Lepisosteus oculatus: one gene and its partners. The protein of the gene in region 2 binds, or shares a complex with, the protein of the main gene of each other region. Links are inferred from orthologs where the notes say so. Each region holds a gene or a part of one and is shown on either strand. Other genes may lie near its edges. The genes, in order: taf8, taf3 and taf11.

Region 1 (6,952 bases), on a different chromosome or scaffold from region 2:
ACTCCACAGCAGCCTTCTCTGCGGCTTCGAACCCGGACTCTGTCAGCAGCGAGCTGACCACCACCTGCAGGGTGCGCCGCCGAGCGAGGTAGTAGTTCTCCGCGGGGCTGGTGGAGGTCTTGCCCCCGGAGGAGCGCTGGGGAGACAGATGGGGGATCATTCACAAACTGGACTGAGGACACTGATCCTGCACGCTTTACTTCTGTCACCCTGTCTGAGGCCGAACGCCCCACTTGGAGCAGGAGTGTACAATAACCATGCTCCCAGTCTCCCAGCTGCTCCAGGGCACTGGCTGATTACCAGGTGCACCTCCACACAGCTGGCTTCACTCATGCTCACCTGCGACTCACTGGTGAAGAAGAAATCACACCTATTGCTCCCTGGCTGTGCTAATCTTGGGAACCGTTTTTATTTTGGCCAAACTCACACTCCTCTGATGTACAGGCTGGCCCTGGTCCAACTCACGAGACCATTTTATTCAACTCTGAGAGAAACTCACATGCTCTGTAAATACACAAAAATCTCCCACATCCACAAACAGAAACAATAATCTCAGTAAAATTATACCCAATTTATATTCTTCTTTTTAAAGTTAGTTTTTCTGTCAATGAAAATAATTGAGTGACATCTGAAATGAGAATATCTTCTTCTAATGTAGCTGTTTTTTTCCATTTCAATTTCAATAAAACAACTTGTTAGTGGGGCCAGCAGGGGGCGCTCACCCTGCAGTCCATGTGGGTCCTAATGCCGCAGTATAGTGACGGGGACGCTATACTGTAAACAGGAGCCGTCCTTCGGATGAGACGTAAAACCGAGGTCTTGACTCTCTGTGGTCATTTAAAATCCCAGGGCGCTTCTCGAAAAGAGTAGGGGTGTAACCCCGGTGTCCTGGCTAAACTTCCCATTGGCCCTTACCAGTCATGACCTCCTAATAATCCCCATCTATGAATTGGCTACATTACTCTGCTCTCCTCCCCACTGATAGCTGATGTGTGGTGAGCGTTCTGGCGCACTATGGCTGCTGTCGCATCATCCAGGTGGATGCTGCACATTGGTGGTGGTGGAGGGGAGTCCCCGTTACCTGTAAAGCACTTTGAGTGGAGTGTCCAGAAAAAGCGCTATATAAGTGTAAGCAATTATTAATTATTATTATTATTATTATTATTATTAACTTGCAATTCTTAATTGCAAAATGCTACACTCCGGAAGAATCCTGCCATCCACACTTAAATGGCCGGCATGTGGAGACAGACCCTTATTTTAAATATCTGGGTACATACATTGTTGGTAAACTAAACCTCTCAGACAGCACGGCGTATGTTTTTAAAAAGGCCCTGACTTCTCATGAGAAGGTTCAGGAGCTCTTCTGTAAACAGACTCGCTCTAGAGCTGGTAGAGTGTGCTCTCTCGTATCATCTCCACTTGTTAATAAACAGGATTATAAACATGGGCAGCAAAATCAATGGTCAGAAACAGACCACGCTGAACCACATGTATACCAGAAGTGTTTACAGGAAAGCAATGTTAATAGTAAATGATACCTCAGATCCACTACATTTACAATTTGAAAAATTAGCATTTGGAAGACATTCTAGAGTATCAAGACACATTTAAGTCATTCATTCTGAGTGCTCTTACTCTTTTAAATCTCATTAATCCCACAGCATTGCATTGACAGCATGTAATAATAATAATAATAATAATTGCTTACACTTATATAGCGCTTTTCTGGACACTCCACTCAAAGCGCTTTACAGGTAATGGGGACTCCCCTCCACCACCACCAATGTGCAGCATCCACCTGGATGATGCGACGGCAGCCATAGTGCGCCAGAACGCTCACCACACATCAGCTATCAGTGGGGAGGACAGCAGAGTAATGTAGCCAATTCATAGAAGGGGATTATTAGGAGGCCATGATTGGTAAGGGCCAATTGGAAATTTGGCCAGGACACCGGGGTTACACCCCTACTCTTTTCGAGAAGCACCCTGGGATTTTTAATGACCACAGAGAGTCAGGACCTCGGTTTTACGTCTCATCCGAAGGACGGCGCCTGTTTACAGTATAGTGTCCCCATCACTATACTGGGGCATTAGGACCCACATGGACCACAGGGTGAGCGCCCCCTGCTGGCCCCACTAACACCTCTTCCAGCAGCAAACTTAGTTTTTCCCAGGAGGTCTCCCATCCAGGTACTGACCAGGCTCACACCTGCTTAGCTTCAGTGGGTTGCCAGTTGTGAGTTGCAGGGTGATATGGCTGCTGGCGATACAGTACATGCCTGCAGCTTGAATCTTATGTTTTTGTCATGTATTATAACACTGTGCACATCTGTAAAATCCACGGAATGTACTCTGTTAATACAGTGTTGTGATTATTGTTGTTTCACTGAGGCCAACGGAAATTTTCCACTGTATGTGGACAATCATATAGATTCTCATTTGAAATCATATTTCCGCTTTAACCCTGGGATATCTCATACAATTACATGTTCAGGCTAGCAAAAGTACTGTTGCATTACTGCATACAAATTTTACTTGTATTCACACAAAAAAAGTACGGTTCTATGTTTCATTTTCACAAACTTTTTTTTTTACATTTCTAGCAGCGTTAGAAACAAATCTTACAAAAAGCAGCCAATGAGTGAGAAGCTTTCCATGCCTCCGCCAATCATCGCAGCTAGTAGGTGGGACATACAGAAATGCTAACAACGGCGACCCAGCGCGCGAGCGCTGAGCTAAGCTCCCCGTCCAGAGCAAAGCGATTCCACGCTGTAGTGTAAACGGTCCAGGCTCACATATAACAAGCATTTCTCACGATTTTTCTTTTTAAATGAAGTCCTACTCGCATAATTTATTATACTTACCGTCACGGAGCCCAACGATCCACTGCCCACAACATTAGGATCCGCCATCTTCAGGGCAGACTGGCCACAGTGCGCATGCACGGCTGTCGAAAGGGAGGCTGGGAGAAGTTTATTCCCTTGTGAAAGCAGCCCTTATCCTTGCGAATCTAAATAAAACACGTAGGTGGAAGTACCTGTCGGTCTCGTATCCCGTAAGAATAAAAGTGTTATTGACGTGGAGACCTGCTTGTTTCCTGTATGGGACAGACACTCCAGTGGCTCAATTCAGCATTTCCAATGACACGTGACGTGCATGTCCTTAAGATCACACTCGTGCAAGAGGTGTAAAGAGCACACAGGGAGATGATGATAATAATAATAATAATAATAATAATAATAATAATAATAATAATAATAATAATAATAATAAATAAATAACTTCTGAATAAATAAATTCTGGACACTCCATTCAAAGTGCTTTACAGGTAATGGGGACTCCCCTCCACCACCACCACTGTGCAGCATTAACAAGGACTTCCCTTAACGACAGATTACTGTTCTTTTAAATTTTCTCCATTCATTGGAAGTTTCATTTCACACCTCTCTGCACCCATTCTGACTTCACACCTCTTGATTGGCCTCTCTTTCTGTCCCCTGCTCCCGCCTCTCACTCCTCCTCCCTCCCAACCTTTGTTCTCCCGCTACTTTACCTTTGCCTACTGCCCTGTCTCTCTCACACCTGAAGAAGGCTCCACGGCCGAAACGTTGTGTTCTCTTTCTTCTTTTTTTCAGCATGGAATAAACCTATTACTTGTTCATTAACAAGGATGATGCAAACTCCACACTTATAGGTGGCTGTGGCTGGAATCAAACCTGAGCTTCTGGAGACATCAGTTATGACTTCAGGTTTCAAAGTTAATAGATGCCAGAAGATGGAAAATATGTAGAGGCCATATAAACACAGAAAAGACCATGCAGCTCATAACATGACAAAATAAATGATAACGCATATCAACACATCTGCCTTGACACTGAGAACACATTTCAATTGCAAAGCTGAGAAGATGAATATAAAAAGGTCTGCGATGCGGTTGCTGCCGACACGCTCAGAGAGGAAGCCGGGGCGGTCTGCCAGCGGCATGGGTGCGAGAGTGAGCGTGCTCAGTGTGGTTTCGCACTCAGGTGCTCAGCTGGGGTCAGGCTGGTGCCAGGAAGCGCAGTGGCGCAGTATGTCTGTCAGTGTCACAGGCCGCCATACGGAGCTGCTCTGTCGCTCTCTGACTCAGCAATGCCTCTCCATGCACACAGACGGGTTTACAGCACAGAGAGAAGCTGTACAGCAAGCTGCTCGCTTTGGTAAGTGCTGTAGGGCCCAGTTCTGCTACAGCATGTTCCATCATTCGTTAGGCGACTGATGTGAAGGAGCTGCATAACAAGTTTTCTGCTACTGAATTTTTACCTTGTCAAAGGTAATCAAATAGCAAATATAAGAAATAAACACTAACATATAGAGCTGCTCTGTAAAAAACGTTCTTCATTTTCACTGATGGAGCCGTGGAAGAGCAAGAGGATGCTGTCTCCCACCCTCACGCTGGAGTGTGGGCGTGCTGTCTCCCACCCTCACGCTGGAGTGTGTGCGAGCTGTCTCACTCTGTGGTGCTGGATTGTGTGTTTGCTGTCTCACACTTGGGCTGGAGTGAGTCCATGCTATCTCACACCATCCCGCTTGGGTGTGCGCGTGCTGGAGTGTGCTGGAGGGCATCTCAACTCCCTTCTGCTGGAGTGATAAAGCCCAAGATGCAAAGAGATGCACAAGTAATGAGTATAAAGCTTCACTCTTAAAAAAGTTTTGGAGAGCAGTATTTCTATTCGCTTCTTCACCGATATTGCAGTAAAGAAACTGAAAGAAGGAAAAGACAGGCTGTGTGGTCAGGGTGAATTTGCATGGAGCCGCAGGGGGCATCCCCACTGCTCCCCAACTCAGCAGCCTGGGAATCCCCCCTGCACCCTGACTCAGCAGCCTGGGCATCGCCACTCCACCCTGACTCAGCAGATTGGTTGGAAGAATAGAGAGAATTTCAGAGCTACAGGGCTTCAGATGTACATTTGCTTTTGCATGACCATCTCTTTCACTCCTGATTTGTCCTGGTGCTGCAGTTTCCTCACTAAGATACTCACAACGTTAAAATAACTTGTCCCACTAGGGTTTCTCCCCACAAGGAAGGCATCTCATCTACCTGTCTCATTTCCTCTCTCCCCTGTGGCCACACAAAGTTATGTCATGTCCTGAGTTTACTGGTACCATCGGACAGTACTATGGTAAACTAATAGCATGTAAAGGTACCCCCTTGTGAACTATGGGTTTAGATAAGGCAGCTTCTACTCAGGCACAGTTTAAAAATCATCAGTAGAGAGTCAGGCCTGACTCAGGGTGTCTGTGGCTTGATGTGTTAACAGGAAACATTAAACAAACGGCTGTACTGTAAGCTCCTGCTGCTGTGCTTGCCCTATCACCGTCTCACCTGGGGGTGCAGGTGTCTTTATCCCCAGTGCCAGGTCAGTGGAGCAGGAGAATTGTGTTGACTGTGTGTAGTAGTGAGAGTCTATCTGTGTGTGTGATGTCTGTTGGTGTGTGTGTGTGTCAAGAGCGTACTTGTGTGTGTGGCAGTGAGTGTGTGTGTGGCACAGACAGCGGGTATGTTGACAGTGAGAGAGCGGTACTGTACGCAGTGTGTGTGGAGTGTATGTGTGGCGTGTGTATGTGTGCTGTGTGTATACTTGTGTGTGTGCACACATTGGCGTGCAGTGGAGTGAAGTGGGGCTGACAGTTGAGACCACATCCATTAAAACAGAATGATAAAAATAAAACAAAATGTCTTTGCCAGGTGTCTCAGAAAATGTTGTCTGGGGCTTCAGTTCACAGCTCTACTGTACCCACTCCTGCAGGAAATGGCTTTTACACTCAACTTCAGATGACAAAAACAACTAAAAACAAGAGAGTCAGCTCTGATCTCTGGTGCTGTGATGTACAGCAGTACTGTACTCGGTGTGGAGTGTGTGTGCAACAGTGAGAGAGCAGAACTGGACTCAGTGTGTGCAACAGTAAGAGAGCAGAACTGGACTTAGTGTGTGCAACAGTAAGAGAGCAGTACTGGACTCAGTGTGTGTCTGTGTGTGGAAGTGAGAGAGTTGTACTGTGCTCAGTGTGTTTGGAAGTGAGAGTGTGTGGCGTGTGTATCTGTGTGTCAGTGTGTGCTGTGTCTCTGTGTGTGGCACTAAGAGCAGTACCTGCAGTACTCTGCCATCTCTAAGTGGGGAACTTCATTAATTTGATTTCTATATAAGAGATCAACTTCAAGTGACATTTTTTATTCTTAATGTTACAACACATTTTCAAGTTTGTTACTAATAAGTCAATATGCTTTATGTATTTAACTGTTTAGGCCCTTGCAGCATAAGTACTCTAATCATTCTTTGTTAACTTTATTTCCTAATGGTATTATGCAGTTCATCTTGTGTTAATGTATATTTTCAGTTCAATAACATGTATCATAAAAACATTACATTATATAACATTTATTAGTTTCACATTCTAGTTTTCCTCTGACCTCTGATCTAAACACAGCTCATTTAATTTTAATTAATCCTGGCCTCGTGTCTGAGTATGTCTGTCACAGATTTCATCTACCGCTGCACAATAAAGAGGAATCATTTAACTCTAGAGGTTTTCTTTATATCATATTTTATTTGAGTATAACGATACACAACGACATGTTGGAGAATGGACAGCAGCTTTATTTTTTTATTTTAACCTGAACTGCTCTTCCTGCAGCGTCACATCTACCGCCCAAACCTCTGCCCCGCACAAAGATGGCCGCGGCGGCGTCCTTCATTGGTGCAGCGACAGCTGACGTCACAGGCGTATATAGTGTCTAGATGCCAGCGGCGGGCTGTCAGCGGTGGTCGGGCTCGGTGGCGGTAGGCACGGGGTGAGGTGTTCAGGCGCACACGAGCTGACCCATTGGCGCTTGGAGTTTTTCCATCTGAAATAGCCAAGACACGTAACTCCAGACTGGGCAGTCGTGGGAATACCCGAAACACCTACC
Region 2 (7,642 bases):
AGAAACTCACTGATTATTCACTGTTTGAACTAACTGCACGGACTAACTGATATAAGTCTTTTTACTAAAATTTTAAGTTGCATAGTAGGTACTGTTATTACTAACAATGTAGTAAACAAAGACCGGACAATTATCATCTATAATCATCAATGGAACCCTTATATATATATATGAAATAACATTTCTTACACTTTTTATGTGATTGTAGACATATATCTGCCCTCACAATAATATAGTGAAAAGCCATTTGGACATCTATGATAGAACACTGGACAATTACATTTTAATGCTCTTAATTGAATTGGTATCACTACATAATTGATCTTCGCTGTAGCTTTATAGAGTGAGTGGGATTGGTGTACTCCCTGAATCTTTAAACATCAAAATGAATATGTTACAAAATGATTAAAGAAGAATTGTAGGGATTGTATTTTACATTGCACGTAGGGATTTTTCATACAATTTTCATTAAGAACCATGTATAATGCACAAAAATAAAAAGGGAGTAGATTTACTGTACATTACGCACCGTCAAAGAGAATATCTCAATGTACACATGAAACCAGCTGAATTTTAAGTTATTGTAGTTAAACTTGTCTGGCCACAACTAAATACTCACAGCAGAAACACAGACCTTTTTCGGAAGCTTAAGGAAGGAAAGTTCAGGAACGAATGACAAAATAACTTTTTTCACAAACACAGCTGAAACTCTAGAATAGTTTGAAGATGTTGTGGAGGTGGAAAATGTTTGGTCTTTTCAAAATCTCTATGACTTTTATAGGAAAGGTGGCACATCTGAATGCTTCAGACAACAAACATTACATATGTTTTCTGCAATATTTTGACATAATCTAAAATTATTTCATAAAAATATTCTAATTTCTATTTAAACTAATTATAATATTTATTCATCACATTTGAAAGCTGGGATTTTTTAAAGCATCTAGGAAAAGCTTTCAAAATTAGTTAAGAGAACGTCACAATTTTTAAAAATGCAGACCTTTTTGGAAATAGTGCATCTCAGTACAAACCAATCTGCTGAGCATGAAACTAATGCCTCTGGAGGACTGAATGTTACTGGTTTCAATGATTTAAAATATATGGATATATAAATGTTCCCACCTTCTTGTAACGATACAATGGGAGGCATATAATCAGGAATGTATTCCTTTCTCTCTTCGGCATCCTTGCTGCCAGCCTGGGGGAACTGCAAGATGTTGTTTTTGCTGACAGGAAACAAGGGGATTTGATGTGCAAAGCCCACCGGCTCCAGATTGTGGACATAATCTTCTAGCTCATTCAGGTTCACTCCCAGTAGCTTGAATGCTTGCCCAACGTCATCTAACACAGGATCCGTGCGGCCATCTGAAAGAAGTACAGATAATTATTAAATATGTGTCTGTCATGCATTTAAATGTACTTAAACATTTGGGACAGTGCCTTGATAATTTAACCAGCCTGGAAGAAATGTTCTAAGGAACCTAGGGATACTAGTATGAATTCTAAGGTAACGCAAGGGCTTGTATCACCTAATTGCTGATGGTTTCAAGAACAATAACTGCTGATTATCACTGTAATAAAGTCATTATGGTAAAGGAACATGAACTTCATGCAGAGCCAGTGCAATAAATAAATAAGCATACCGCCTAGGAAAATCTGTGTATCCCTTATATAAATAAGATCTCAGAAAAGCTTTTGTAAAAACTCAGATGTCCAAACTGCAAATCTGTTGATTATCAGGTTTTCCTCAAGCATGCAACTTCACTTCCCTCTATTTAACAGAAAAATCATTCAGAACCAAGAGATCGAATTCAGCAAAACAACCACATGTACACAGCCCATGCTTCATCATTTAGAAGCTGGGGAAACTTTTTACCTAAAAAGGTAAAAGTTAATAAAAATGACAGTAGACAATGTTCGATTTCTGAATTTGTGCTTTTATAAAAGCATGTGTGAAAAAAACGGATGTTTTACGTTTGGAATACACATGTAAGACGTATCCTTAAAAACGAAATTAAAAACTAAATGGTTGATGAAATTTGTGTCTTGTAGATTCCTGCAAGCATAAAGTATAATTTCTAAACAATAGGTATAATAACCCAAGTTCATTATTTTTTGACAGGACGAAACAACACTTCCAGCAGCTAATTGTTCAATTATTGCTTCGATAGAACAATATGCAACAAGGACGGAGAACACCGGGTTAATGGAAGATCTGAGTAAGTTAAATGTGAAAATATTCAGGTGTCATTTCGCACTGAACCCTATTACTGTATATTTACCGTTTTCCGGTTTTAACTAAACGTTTTTTAAACATCATCCTACAATTATGTTGCTGCTGACCAGTCAGTCGGTTTCTAAGTGTATATAGTTCCCTCCCTTTTCCGATGATATGTGATATATAGGCTCATCAGCTAGCGACACACACCTGTAGGAAACTAATGATGTACTGGCAGAAAGCACCAGAAAAAACACCGAATCGCTGACTTCTTTGCTTTTGCCTAAATTTTAATAAAAGTTTTAAAGAATGTTCCCTTTTTACTTGCGACTGCGGCATTTTTGCCAGGTTATTCCTTACTGTAAAACAAGTTGGTTCTGTGCTGGTGCTACCACGCACCTCCTGTCATACTAGGCCTCATCAAGAGAAAGCAGGAAGGAGTGGAGTTGTTGCAAAGCGATAGCACTGTAAATCCACACATAAATACTCACAGAGCTCCGAGTAGCGATGGCATCCCCTGGCCAGCTGCTGGATATACCTGTGCAGGACATCAGTGAGGAGGTCGCAAGCCGTGAGCTGGACCGAATCCCAGCCTAGAGCTTGGCAGATCTGCGCCACGGACACTCGCAGCAGCGAGCGAGCATAGCTCTCACACATCCCGCTGGTTCCTTTTTGGGACCTTTAACTTTTCAATTCCCGGTAAGAAAGGTGTTTCTTGTCCTCATGATGCATTAAACCCAGAGGAATGAAAACAAAGTCCAGACAATAAACGTATTGTTGACATCTAAAATAAACCATAGGTTGGCGCTAATGCAGAAGCGGCCATCTTGATTCCACTCACAGACCATTGCCGAGAACATCGATGAGGTCCGCACATGAGCAGTGAGAAGTTAGACTCGATTTCGCGTCTATCAGCTCGTAAGTCTGAGATGAAGAGCATGCTCTCTTGTAGCAAAACAACGCAAAGTTCAAAGTTGTTATTCGTTTTAAAATGAAAACAACAGAACCTACGCAGTCGTGTTATTTTGAATGGCGCATGGTCTTATAAAATATTGTGCGAGTTCCCAATTGTAACAGTACGAAAAAAGGTTTCGTGTGTTTTTAATCGGTAGCATATATTAACCGTCATCTAGTTTCTTTTATCGCCGTTGTTGAACTGCTGTTCTTCTAGTACTTAAAAATACACGTGGCCTGTATTTTGTTATTTTTACTTTTTTATTTTAACAACAAACAGCCGGAAGCTGGAGTCTATGATTGTGCAAGCAACAGGCACAACCATAGGAAATATAATCATATAGTAGCACAAATATAGGAATATACCCGGGGCCGGGTGCCAGTCAGGGTGCAGAGACACGCACACACTCACGCCAGGGCCAGTTTTCCCAGAAGCCAATTAACCCACCAGAATGCCTTTGGACTGCAGGAGGAAAACCGGAGCAGACTAATGAGAAACACTTTTTATTACTATGCACCTGTGTAAGTTTAATGACAATAAAGTTGAATTGAATAAGTAGGAAACCCTTGTGAAGACGGGAAAGACAAAAAGGTCCACGCAGATGGCAGCCCAGGTATTGAACCCATGGCCCCAGGGCTGTAAGGTAGCAAAGCTAACCAGTGCGCCCCCCGTGCCACCGTTATAGCACTTGTAAAATATGATAGTTAAAACACAATTACTAAACATTTTTTACGACCTGAAAATAAAATATTACGATTCCTCGTATTATTAAGTTCATTCAGTCCAATTGTGCAACTTAGAACTCGGCTCTTGCATTTTAAACGAGAAAAAAGCAACATACACACGGTCCATGTGCCAAGTCCAGTAAAGGATTAGCCCGTACTTACAGGATGTGTCTGCAGTTATTTCCTTCCAACTAAGCTCTTGTTTACTTTAATTTGCTCTTACTGGGTCCAGTTAAAGACTTCGTTCTGTTTTTCAGGTGCTGCTGCCTAAGACACTGAGACAACTTGCAATCACACCATCCATCCAGGACCAGAATTGGACACTCCCCGACAAAAGTTTTTAAGTATCCTTTTTGTTCTTTTAGAAACCTTTGATTCATTTTTTTGCCCGATACCATTAAGTATTTGTAAAATGGGCTTCAGTGAATTCTGAGATATGGCAAAAGCTCTCGTAGCTTGAAATTCAAGTTATTCCATTTGTTAATGTATACATTAACCAGTGTGAAGCATTTTGGCTCCACAGTTGTTTTATTTGAAATGTTACTTACTACATTAATTAAGCAGATTAAAGCACTTTTTGTCAATTGCTTTTGGGTTTTGTTGAATACTATTGATTTTTTAGTAATGATGGTATTGTCCCCGTTTCAAGCACAAAGTGATCGTTTCTTTTCATAAACAATATGATGAAAATAGTTAATTCATTTATCAATGAAGAAACCTTATACTTTAAAATAGTACATCTGGAAATACTCAAGCAATAACAATATTCTTTGATAGTATACACCAATATGAAAAGTTCACTATTCCGTAATGTAGATCTTCAATATAAGTTATAAAGAGTGGAGGTTTCAATACAGATCCTTGTGGTACACCACTAATCACGTTTTGAGCTTTTACCCCTTACCTGTACTTTTTTGGAGAATTCATATTATGAGGAACTTCAAGTATTGTAAAAATCATCTGGTCAACTTGTATTCATTACTGCTACTGCTGAAGTTCTAACGAGATAAACAAGACCAACTGTTTCTCCTTGAACATATTGACGCAGATGGATGATTATCTAATTAAAATTCCAATAACGCTGATAGTAAGAAAAGTAAGACTTATTAATCTATACTTTGTTCAGTTTTTTCACCTTTTGAATAGATAGGTGTATCCATCATTGTGTATTTACCACCTTCTTGAGAGACTGCTGATTTTTCTTGATGGGCTATGAATTATTGTTTTGTGTACAATTGGTGGGATACCATCAGGCCCTGGAGATTTCTTTAAATATTTTAAAATACTTTTAACAACTTTCACTTCTATGCTATTTAATATAGAACATTTTTTCTTCAGTCTGCAGAATGTACTTAAAAGTTTTCGCTAAACAATAGGGGGAAATATTAGCCCTTTTAATCTATTGTCACCTCTGGGGGACAGTTCTTTTACTGTTGTAATACAAAATTGTAGTATACTGTACCTTATTCTCTCTCTACCTAATATCCCTTTCACTTGTGCTCCCCTTTTTTAAAATCTGAGTTTGTTTCATATGGAATTTGTGGCATTTTATTCTATTCCTAGTAGCACATACTGTATCCTTCATGATTAACCTCTCTCCTTAGCAATTCAACTTCACTACTCGGCTTAAACACAAAAAATAACCTTAAATTTGATATTCTTATAATATTAGGATTTAACAAATAACTGCAAGGATACAAAAAGGTTCAGTATAACAGTATACTGATACACTATAACAGTAGTATACAAGTTATCACTAATACTTTACAGCTCTTGGGTCCCGAGTTCTAATTCTAATTCTACTGTAGGGCATCTTCTGCTTGGAGTTTGCATATCCTCCCCAGGCAATGCTCCAGTTCTCCCCTACATTCCTGCAACCTGCTGGCATCTCTAAATTGCCCCCCCCCCCCCCCCCAAAAAAAAATTGCTCTTTGTATTATTGAACAAATACTGTTCTTTTTTAAAGTTAATAAACACTCATACATCAGACGACTTTGACTTATGAGATTTGAGATTCTGGTATAGGTACCATTAAAATAGGTTAGTTTTGCATTAAACAGCGTGGGAAGAGGCAGAAATGTGCATTGTAGATCTAGCTGCAGAACAGTGAAAAAGCTTCTCAGTCTAACACTGGATGCAGCCAACTCAAACTAAGGGTTTGCAGACTCTCCTACTATACTTTATTTAAAATTTAGTAAACGCGGCTCATTTTCAAAATGTTTGAAAACAAGAAATGGGTTATTTTCCATTGCAGTATTGATCTATACTTTAATGTTTTCACAACTTGTAGAACACAATTTATTTTTGCTTTTGTGTAAAACGCAAATTATCAAAGGAAAAAAAACAATTACAATTCTGTGTAAGATGTTTATTCGAAGATATTTTACAAACAGAGGATAGTTTCACGAATACTTGACAGAACTGATGATTCTCAGCGTGGACACCAGAACCTTACTGAAACTTGATAATAGCTGGTCTTCCATGTTTATCTATAACAAAAACATATAAAACTGGTTATAACAAAAGTGCAATGTATATTACATCTGTTGATTGCTATGGAATGAAAATAAACCAGGTTGTCTAAATGAACTAGATCCACAGGCAGAACAAAGCACTAACTACTAACAGCTGAAGTAGATTTAGGCATAAAGCATATGTAATAAATCTTTAATCTCTAAAAGGTGAAAATGCCAAGCCACAAAGGAGATTCAAAACCATACATGTCTTCCAAAAATATTTAATTAGGGAACAAACTAACATGAAAATCACAATATCTAGTCTAAGGCACGTTACCTCGGTTTTGGTTCTGATAAAACCACACTTCAATCTCTGAAAACATGCCAGAAATAAATCAGAACAAAGGATCAGTTGAAATAAAGAGTAACCTTTAAACTACATCTTTAACAAAGGATTAAATCCTGATTGAAGTTTGGCCTCAGGAAATGGTACTTCACTAAGTAGTAATACTCATTGATTTCTTCACTGACTAGACGGGGAAATCCTACAAAAATGTTGCAATTCAAAGCCTGTGTCTGCCAGTACATAAACATTATTTGAAGCCATCACATTGACACACCTAATTTAGGTATTTGGAATTAGCTGCCACTTCACGCGAGACAGGAACACCCAGGAGTGTTAAGAGTACATTGTTGTCCATTGATGATTTAACAGGGATCATATTCATATTCCAAAAACATAAGATTTTATGATCATGTCTTTGTTTAAAATGCAGGTTCGCATTTTCTTAGCTCGGAGATATTCACACCCGTTCCCGATGTGCTCTAGTTCACCAGGTTTTACAGGTCAATGAGTCCAGACTGGAATAAAATCTAAAGACATTGTGGCTCTCCAGGACTAGGAGTGAATATCAGTGCCTTGGCTCAGGGGACCTCCATCCTGGTCCTGGAGGTCCAAGCACCTTCTGGACTTTGTTCCAGTCAAAGCCCCGTTTCACAATTGAACATGAATCAGGATTCACTTGAAATGCTTTACTGTTTGTTTTCAACTCTTAAACATGTTGATGTTTGATTTGTAACAACTGCAGTTCTTAAGGACAATTAAATTACTGAATGGACAAAATAAAAAACTTGTAAATATTCCAATCTAGCTACTTGTTATTGCAAATAAGGCTTCAATCAGGTGGAAGAAAAACTGGAAGGTTTGTGGTTTTCCTGGATCAGGACAAGAACTCTGCCTTAGCTGTTTATATAATAGGGCACATCGTACTTTTACTCAGGACAGCAG
Region 3 (7,419 bases), on a different chromosome or scaffold from region 2:
CCAGAACGAAAAACGAAGCGAGTTCCACCGACATTGCCAGGCTCTGGAAAGTTTAACAGGTCGTTATTTATTTTACGATGTGCTCCTAATATCAGATATCTGAGGATACATAAACCAACCGTAGCCATAACATTTAGTGTGGATTTCGCTTTTTATGTGTTGAAAGTGATATAATCTATCAGCAATAGCCTAAACGTGTTTTTTTTAATCTGAAAATGTTTCATATGAACAGTTTAGGTCTAATACGAGTGACACGTGATTATAAAAAAATACAAATATATTGTAATTGTAGCAAATAGAACTCTGCTGAGAGCATGTGGCCAATTTGAAACACATTTAGTTAAACGGTCCCGTAAATGTCATGGCGTTGAACAAAGAGCAGAACATATTGAGATCCCGACCCGGGAAGAGAAGAAAACGCAAGAAACAGCTGGTCTGCCAGGGGTGTTGGGTTTGCTGGGCGTACAGAAAAAGATGAAGAATCTTTTAATGAACAACCGCATTTGAAGTGAAGTGACCTGATCAGTGCCATAACTGCATTAGTAAGGAAGCTGCTGTCTGAAACTCAGCAGACTGTATTCAAATATTGCTTTTCTACATATGACTATGGAACTGCACTACAGGAATTAACCATGGGAACGGAATTTTAGTGCGGAGGAGGGCAAAGCCTTCAAATTCCATTATCTGGATAATACATTTTAGGAGAACATAACAAACGGTTAAATATAAAACTAGGAAATAAAGTTGCCTCCTGTAAATAAGCAATTGATTATTTTTTTGCTCTCCTACCCTAAGTCTAACTTGGCAGGCACACCACGCAACAGCCCACAGGAGTAACCTGCTGACTCCACAGAGAAGACACCCCAGCACAGAAGAATATCCGACATCCAGGCAGGTCGGTACCAGGACTGAGCTTGGGTGGGGCAGGAGAGTTTAAAGTCACCCTACCCGACAAAATCCATTTCACGAGCTATACCTGGAACAAACCGTGTCGATTAAAATGTATTTCTCACAAATAGAAGCTCAACCTGTTTAGGATTCAGCTCCATTACTGGCTTCAGAGATAACGTCTACATAAGCAAAAACCACAGCCTCTTAGACTACACTTAAGGGCTCTAGCCCACGCGTGCTATGCTCCGCAATTTTGCCCACCCAAATAAAAGTCCCCCACATATCAATTTATTTCAGTATTTGCAGGCTGAACAGCCCTATCTGACTTACACTTGTTAATAGCGGATATCCGTTATAGTTAATGAAGTGTATGTGGTAATATTGTTTTCTCGTGTTTGGTAGTTCCTTTAATTTGTAGACACATCTAAATACATTCTGATACATTTAACGTGTTACATCTGATTTGTTTCCGACACAAAGAAACTGATACGAATATTTATTTCTTTGTGCTGAGCTGCATTAAAACGAAATGCGATTGTCTTGCAATTCTTGGCATTCTCAGCGCATTATTAAAGTGACTTAAATCCAGACTTGTGGGGGAGGTAGTGGGTGATAGGATTTCACTACCGGTTGTACCAGGTATGGGGTAATGGGGCTGTTGTGAAATGACGTTGGAAAGTAACCAAATGACATCATGAGGAGGAGGCTGTCCTAAGGAAGTGACGTGTCGGGGGGGCAGTCGGAGGAAGTTTGGCCGGTGGTGGTGCTGAAAGAAACTTTCCCTGGAGCGGCGGAGTGGAGCAGGGATCCGGGGCGCGAGTTGCCGCGAGGAAAAACATCGATCAACTGTGGAGGATTATTGTCAGTGGGAGCATTGCTGTTGGAGCCTGGATACGCGTCTTGGCCTCTGGGACACCAGGCTGAAAGGGAATCGCCTGAGCCGCTGCCTTGCGTGTGCCTCCCTCTTTGGCTCCATTCTCGAGCCGAGATGGGGAAGGAGCAGGAGCTCCTGGAGGCTGCCCGCACTGGGAATCTGGCCGCCGTCGAGAAGCTGCTATCCGGCAAGCGGCAGTCGGCGGGGATCGGTGGAGGGTCCTCGGGAGGCGGAGGGAGCGGCGGCGGAGGAGGCGGCGGTCACAGTTCCTCATCTCACCCGCTTTCGAGTTTGCTCAGGTGAGAGGTGGGGGGAAGACCGGACCTGCCGGTGCAGGTACAAGGAAAGGGAGAAGGGGTCCGGCCCGGGTGGAGGAGGAAAGCAAGAGAAGGAGGAGGGGGGGTTTGTGCAAAACGCGGTTTGAAGATTATTATTGAGTGGGTGAAAGAGTGAGTCTTCAGAATGCCTAAGCGTAACCCTGGGTGTCCAAAGCACACCCCCCAAGATTTAATCGTTTTTTTCTTGGACAAATACAGTTTTGAGCCGATAACAAACGATCTGATAGACCCAGTTCAGCCCACGTCTTTGCAAATATTTTTTTCCCCTCAACTCTCCTGTCTCTGACGCGGACCTCAGCACACCTTTGCTATCGGGTTGCGCCGGGCAAACATTCTTTGAATATTTGCTTCCACATTTCAAGAAGTCGACCTCCCTTTCCTTACCTCGCCATGTTTAATAACACATTACGGGCTGGTGCACACTGCAAGGGAATCCGTCTTTTGTTTGGCGCTTGATATGCTCGAAATCAGTTCGTGGGAAAAACGTGTGACAAATTTGGTTGGGTTTATGCAGATGTCGCAAGATATCGCTACTGTCATTTTTTTCTTTTGTGTAGTTGATCGCAAGGCACCCACTTCGATTAATTTTGACGTGCGATATTAAGAACACCTGACAATTATTTCCCCATGAAGCTGATGAAAAATACAAGAGACAACAGAAGAGCGTCACAACACGAAGAGACGTTATAATCCCTTTAACATATCAGACACCGACCAAGAAATAGGTCATGATTATTTTTGCCTTCGTTGCGCTGTTTTGCTGTTTTGTATATGCTTCCCCGGTCGTTTGTTTTGTGGTTTCGTGTTGTTTGTGCACACTTTCGAGTTTGCATCTTTTTTAAAACAATATCAGTAAACAACGCGAAAACGTCTACGATGCCGCTCGTTTTTCCACGCGTGAAATCTGGGACTGAAACGTTTTCTGTTCTGTGGGTTTTCACCGGTGCGCGGGCCGGGTGGACTGGACTCCCCCGCGGTACCTGGGCGCGCAGGAGGGGCGAGGGTGTGGAGAGGGGCACTGCGTCCGGCGTGCAAGGAGCTGTCCGTGCTGCGGTCATTCATACTCCTAGTAGTCCAGCATGTGTGAATTGCACTCCTCCTCCTTCTCCTGAGCGCTCTCGGCGAGATGTGTACTGTAAATACGAACAGTGTGCATTTAAAAAAGACGCCCGTAGTCTCTCACAGCCTTAGCAAGCGCGGAGCTGAGCCACCCTGCAGGCGTGTGTCACCGACCTGACTTCGAAACCTAACTCCAAGCAGCTAACGCGTCACCTCTTTTAATTGCAGAAAATGTAATTAAACATTGAAAGGAGGTAGAAAACTGCAGTTTAATTTCATCAGAAACTTAAATCGGAGAAGCTGAACGAGGGTGCAGCGAAATTCATTTCTGATAAGGAAAGAGAGCCGTTTTCGTGTCTGTTAAGTGGTTCTTTAAGCGTCTGTTCTTCAGTAACTGTGTTTCCTCCTAATCTGTAATAATTTAATCTGGACACTGACGGAAATAGCCGAACGCATGTGCCTCTTAAAACCGTACAGTTGCCTAACGCTATATTGCACAAAGCATCTTTACAATGGCGAGTCTTGACGATGTCTATATATAGATACAGGCTTCGATTACGAAATCCTTTCAGACAAATTAACGCTTACAATTTAAGGTTCGTTTAAGATTTTCATGTCGAAAGAGTCATTAAGTCATTAAGACCCCTTTTCCTTTTACTGTTCTGGTAACCGTTTTTTTAAACGGTTTGGAAGTAGTGTCCCTGAAAGAAGATTTAAAAACACTAAAGATGGTAAAGCTGTTACTGTATGAAGGTGCTACCTCCTCTCGTTTCATCGGTTACCTCCCCCGAAAAGATGACCGAATGAATTATCTGATAAAAAGGGGAACGCGGTAAAAGAAATTATGACTCCTGTTATAGCGCATCTATGGGCGGAGGGCGGAGATAACTCACACTCCGTAAACATCGACTTGATGCGTCGTAAAATTAGTCCTGACATGCTGCGCGGTACTTGATGTAATTACATTAAAACCCTCTTAATCGGAAATCCAATTCGGCGGTGTCATGCGCTTCGAGTGGCCCCCGGCATAGCCCGGCCCCCGACAAGTGAAAGCTGAAGTGCACTTTGTAGGCTCTGGAGAGCTCTGCTCGGCTCGATCAATGGCTGGCAGGCGTCCATGAGCGAAGATAATGATGACCTTAGCATGTGTTTTAAAGTAACTAACTCGGATGAGGAAGACACCCCTTGCGTGCCCACCCTCAGAGCTCCGCATGTCTACGCGATTTCCCTTCAGAGCACTGGGCATCATTGCTTTAAGTGCGATCTTTTCTCTCCTCTCGTTTGACTTGAAAGAAAAAAAACCGCACATCAGGCCTTCGGAAATAATCGTGTTCTGTGGTACCCCGTCAATATTGATTAATCGGCCAGTTTAATGATTCAAATCTTCGGGCATGTCAAGTTAACCCCAGCTGTGTTTTTCATCCAGTTTTTATTCGTTCCCAAATCCTGATCCCGTAGTGTGGTTTTGGTCAGGCTTTCTAAATTCAGAAAATACACGAACCGTAGTAGTGTTTGTGATGAAGGGTAGTCCTGCCAAAAATTCAGAGGCAAAGAAGACGAAGGTTCTGAGATCAACGGCTGGCGAAAAAAGCCGTTATTTTAAAAACCAGAGCAACACTGTTTGCCTTTAATAATGCAGTCCCCTGCTGAAGTGAAGCATGTAGCTGTCAGACCGATGTGCATTTACCGGTACAGCGCCGAAGCGAAGGACCTAAAATATTAAAGATGAGAATAGGAGGCTCTTCTTTACACAAAGGGTGGCGGGTGTCTGGAGTAGGCTGCCCAGCCATATTGTTGAAGCCGACATCCTGGCTTCTTTAAAGAAAGGACCGGGTGAGATCTTGGATCAATTTGCAACCACCGAACGAGCTCGATCGAGTGACTAGCCTCCTCTCACCTGTAAATATGCGAATGGATTTTGTGCAGGAACATCTGCTTGTCTGTTCAAGTTTCCATATGCAGGATTCAGTAGTTCAGGTCAGCTCATAATACTGTAGGTCTGCGTGGCGTGTTCCTTTTTTTAATGCTTACCATTGTGTGTCAGGCAGACTAGTGTGCAGGGCTGATATTTGGACCAGGTGGTATATGACGATACTATGAGAACTGAACCACTCTGCAGACAGAAATGTTGCTAAATTCACTGGAGTTTTATATGGCCAGTGTTCATGGCACTGGATCAGCTGGGACTAGCTCCCAGGTGCCAGTACTGTGGTGACTGTGTGGCTGGTAAGTCTTTGCTGAACTTTACCAAGCTTTGGCTGTGAAAGTGCATAGCATCAGAAAAACATGGGCTTAGAGAAATCAAAACTGCGAAGTGATGTGTGTGTTTTGTGCCACCTTATCTGTCCATTTCCTAACCACTTCATCCAATTAATTCAAGGTCTTGGGGGAACTGGAGCCTATCGTGGCAAACAATGGGTGCAAGGTGGGGTATACCCTGGGCAGGATGCCAGTCCATCACAGGGCAGACACACCAGGGCCAGTTTTCTCAGGAGCCAGTTAACTACCAGTATGTCTTTGGATTGTGGGAGGAAGCTGGAGCACCTAGAGGAAACCCACATGAACACGGGAGAACACGCAAACTCCACACAGACAGCACCCCGAGTCTGGAATTGAACCCAGAGCTCTGCGAGGCAGCAATGCTGACCACTGCTCCACCGTGTTGCCCACAGTCCAATCCATGGCTCTTCTTTTAGCCCCGGTACAGAATAACGTCGTTGCTCCTGAGCAGATTGGCTTCAGATTCTGTGGTTGTGCGGCGTGTGTGTGTTCTGAGCCTGCGTTTCCACAACCGCCTGGCACTTCCGAGTGCCCAGCCCGCTGTGCCCAAGTGCCAGGCCTCTGCTGATTCTCTAGGGCCCCGGTGCCCGACTTTACAGCAGGCAGCCCACCTTGGCCGTTTTTCTTCGGGCAGGATCACGGAGTCAAGCGCTGGAAAGGCGTTCTGTGAAGAAGGGCCTTCTGCTTTTTTGCTTACTCCGCGGCGCGCGCGTCGGGACTGCGGTTTCAGTCAGGACGGGGATTAACGGAGCCGCCGGGCCTCGGGAGAAGCGGGCAATGGGGCCGAACAGTGCCGAGCTCGCTCCGTCTCCTCACTGGCTGGGGGTGGGGGGAGGAGGGTTGGAGAGAGAGCCTTCCCTAGCGTGCTCAGGCATGCCGCGTTGAGACACCTCAGCGCAGCAGTCTGCCTTGCTCTGGAATGTGCCTGTTCCTCGCCCGGCTTCTCGTGCGCGCTTTGACAACAAGCCAGCTTGCGAACGTGCTTTTGCGGGGAAGAGCGCTCGGAGAATGCGCGCGCGCACGTGGGACTGGAATTCCATCTCGATCCGGCCTGACGTGGCCGTGCTTCCCTTTCTGGCTGGACTGTCCATCCGTCCACTTTGCCCACCGCTTCTTCCAGTGTGGGGGAAGCCGGTGCCTATCCCATCAAGCAGTGGGCACAATCCAGGTGCATCCTGGATGGGATGCCAGTCCGTCACAGGGCAGCGATCACACGTACTCACACCAGGGCCGACTTTCCCAGAGGCCGGTTAAGTTAATCTATCAGTCTGGTCTGCGGACTGTGGGAGCAAACAGGATTACCCAGAGGAAACCCACCCCAACAGTGGGAGCACATACGAACTCTGAAGTAAAAAAGAAACTAGAGTCTTAGTTAAAGCCCCGAGATTGCTTTTGGCAGTGTGAGTCTTTAGCCTGGCATTGGAGGTCGGCGGTGCGTGGGTTGTGTTCAGCGTTGAAGGTTTTTCACACTGGGTGAAGTGAATTCAATCATTAACGAAACCGAATAAACAGGCGTCTTATCTCTCAGTGAGCCTGAGGTCACAAAGAAAAGCCCCCCCCCCCCCCCCGTCAGGGGGGCCTACCCTGGCGTTTTGAAAACCAGAAAAAATCCACAAGTTTGCAGTATATTTATAATAATTATAATTAATAATAATTGCTTACATCATAATTTTTGGACACTCCACTCAAAGCACTTTACAGGTAATGGGGTCTCCCCTCCGCCACCACCAGTGTGCAGCATCCACCTGGATGATGCGACGGCAGCCATAGTGACCAGTAGTCTCACCACACACCAGCTATCAGTGGGGAGGAGAACAGAGTGATGAAGCCAGTTCATAGAGGGGGATTATTAGGAGGCCATGATTGGTAAGGGCCAATGGGAAATTTGGCCAGGACGCCGGGGTTCCACCCCTACTCTTTTCGAGAAACACCCTGGGATTTTTAATGACCACAGAGAGTCAGGACCTTGGTTTTACA

What was found.
Region 1: taf3 (region 2) and taf8 share a complex: the UniProt entries of both Homo sapiens proteins name them as parts of the TFIID basal transcription factor complex. The link is inferred for Lepisosteus oculatus from reciprocal best matches to the Homo sapiens genes TAF3 and TAF8.
Region 3: taf3 (region 2) and taf11 share a complex: the UniProt entries of both Homo sapiens proteins name them as parts of the TFIID basal transcription factor complex. The link is inferred for Lepisosteus oculatus from reciprocal best matches to the Homo sapiens genes TAF3 and TAF11.

Annotation. Positions count from the first base shown.
Region 1 is NC_090700.1:40,803,830-40,810,781, reverse strand, and holds the start of taf8 (transcription initiation factor TFIID subunit 8), read right to left. Parts: upstream 3,017-6,952; 5' UTR 2,916-3,016; coding exon 2,868-2,915; intron 137-2,867; coding exon 1-136. UniProt on the Homo sapiens protein: The TFIID basal transcription factor complex plays a major role in the initiation of RNA polymerase II (Pol II)-dependent transcription.
Region 2 is NC_090702.1:43,098,803-43,106,444, forward strand, and holds the start of taf3 (transcription initiation factor TFIID subunit 3), read right to left. Parts: upstream 3,051-7,642; 5' UTR 2,876-3,050; coding exon 2,710-2,875; intron 1,366-2,709; coding exon 1,123-1,365; intron 1-1,122. UniProt on the Homo sapiens protein: The TFIID basal transcription factor complex plays a major role in the initiation of RNA polymerase II (Pol II)-dependent transcription.
Region 3 is NC_090700.1:29,935,950-29,943,368, forward strand, and holds the start of taf11 (transcription initiation factor TFIID subunit 11), read right to left. Parts: upstream 3,106-7,419; 5' UTR 3,084-3,105; intron 2,065-3,083; coding exon of another isoform or gene 1,880-2,064; exon of another isoform or gene 1,455-1,879; intron 1-1,454. Other genes in the region: ankyrin repeat and SAM domain-containing protein 1A, read left to right, coding at 1,880-2,064. UniProt on the Homo sapiens protein: The TFIID basal transcription factor complex plays a major role in the initiation of RNA polymerase II (Pol II)-dependent transcription.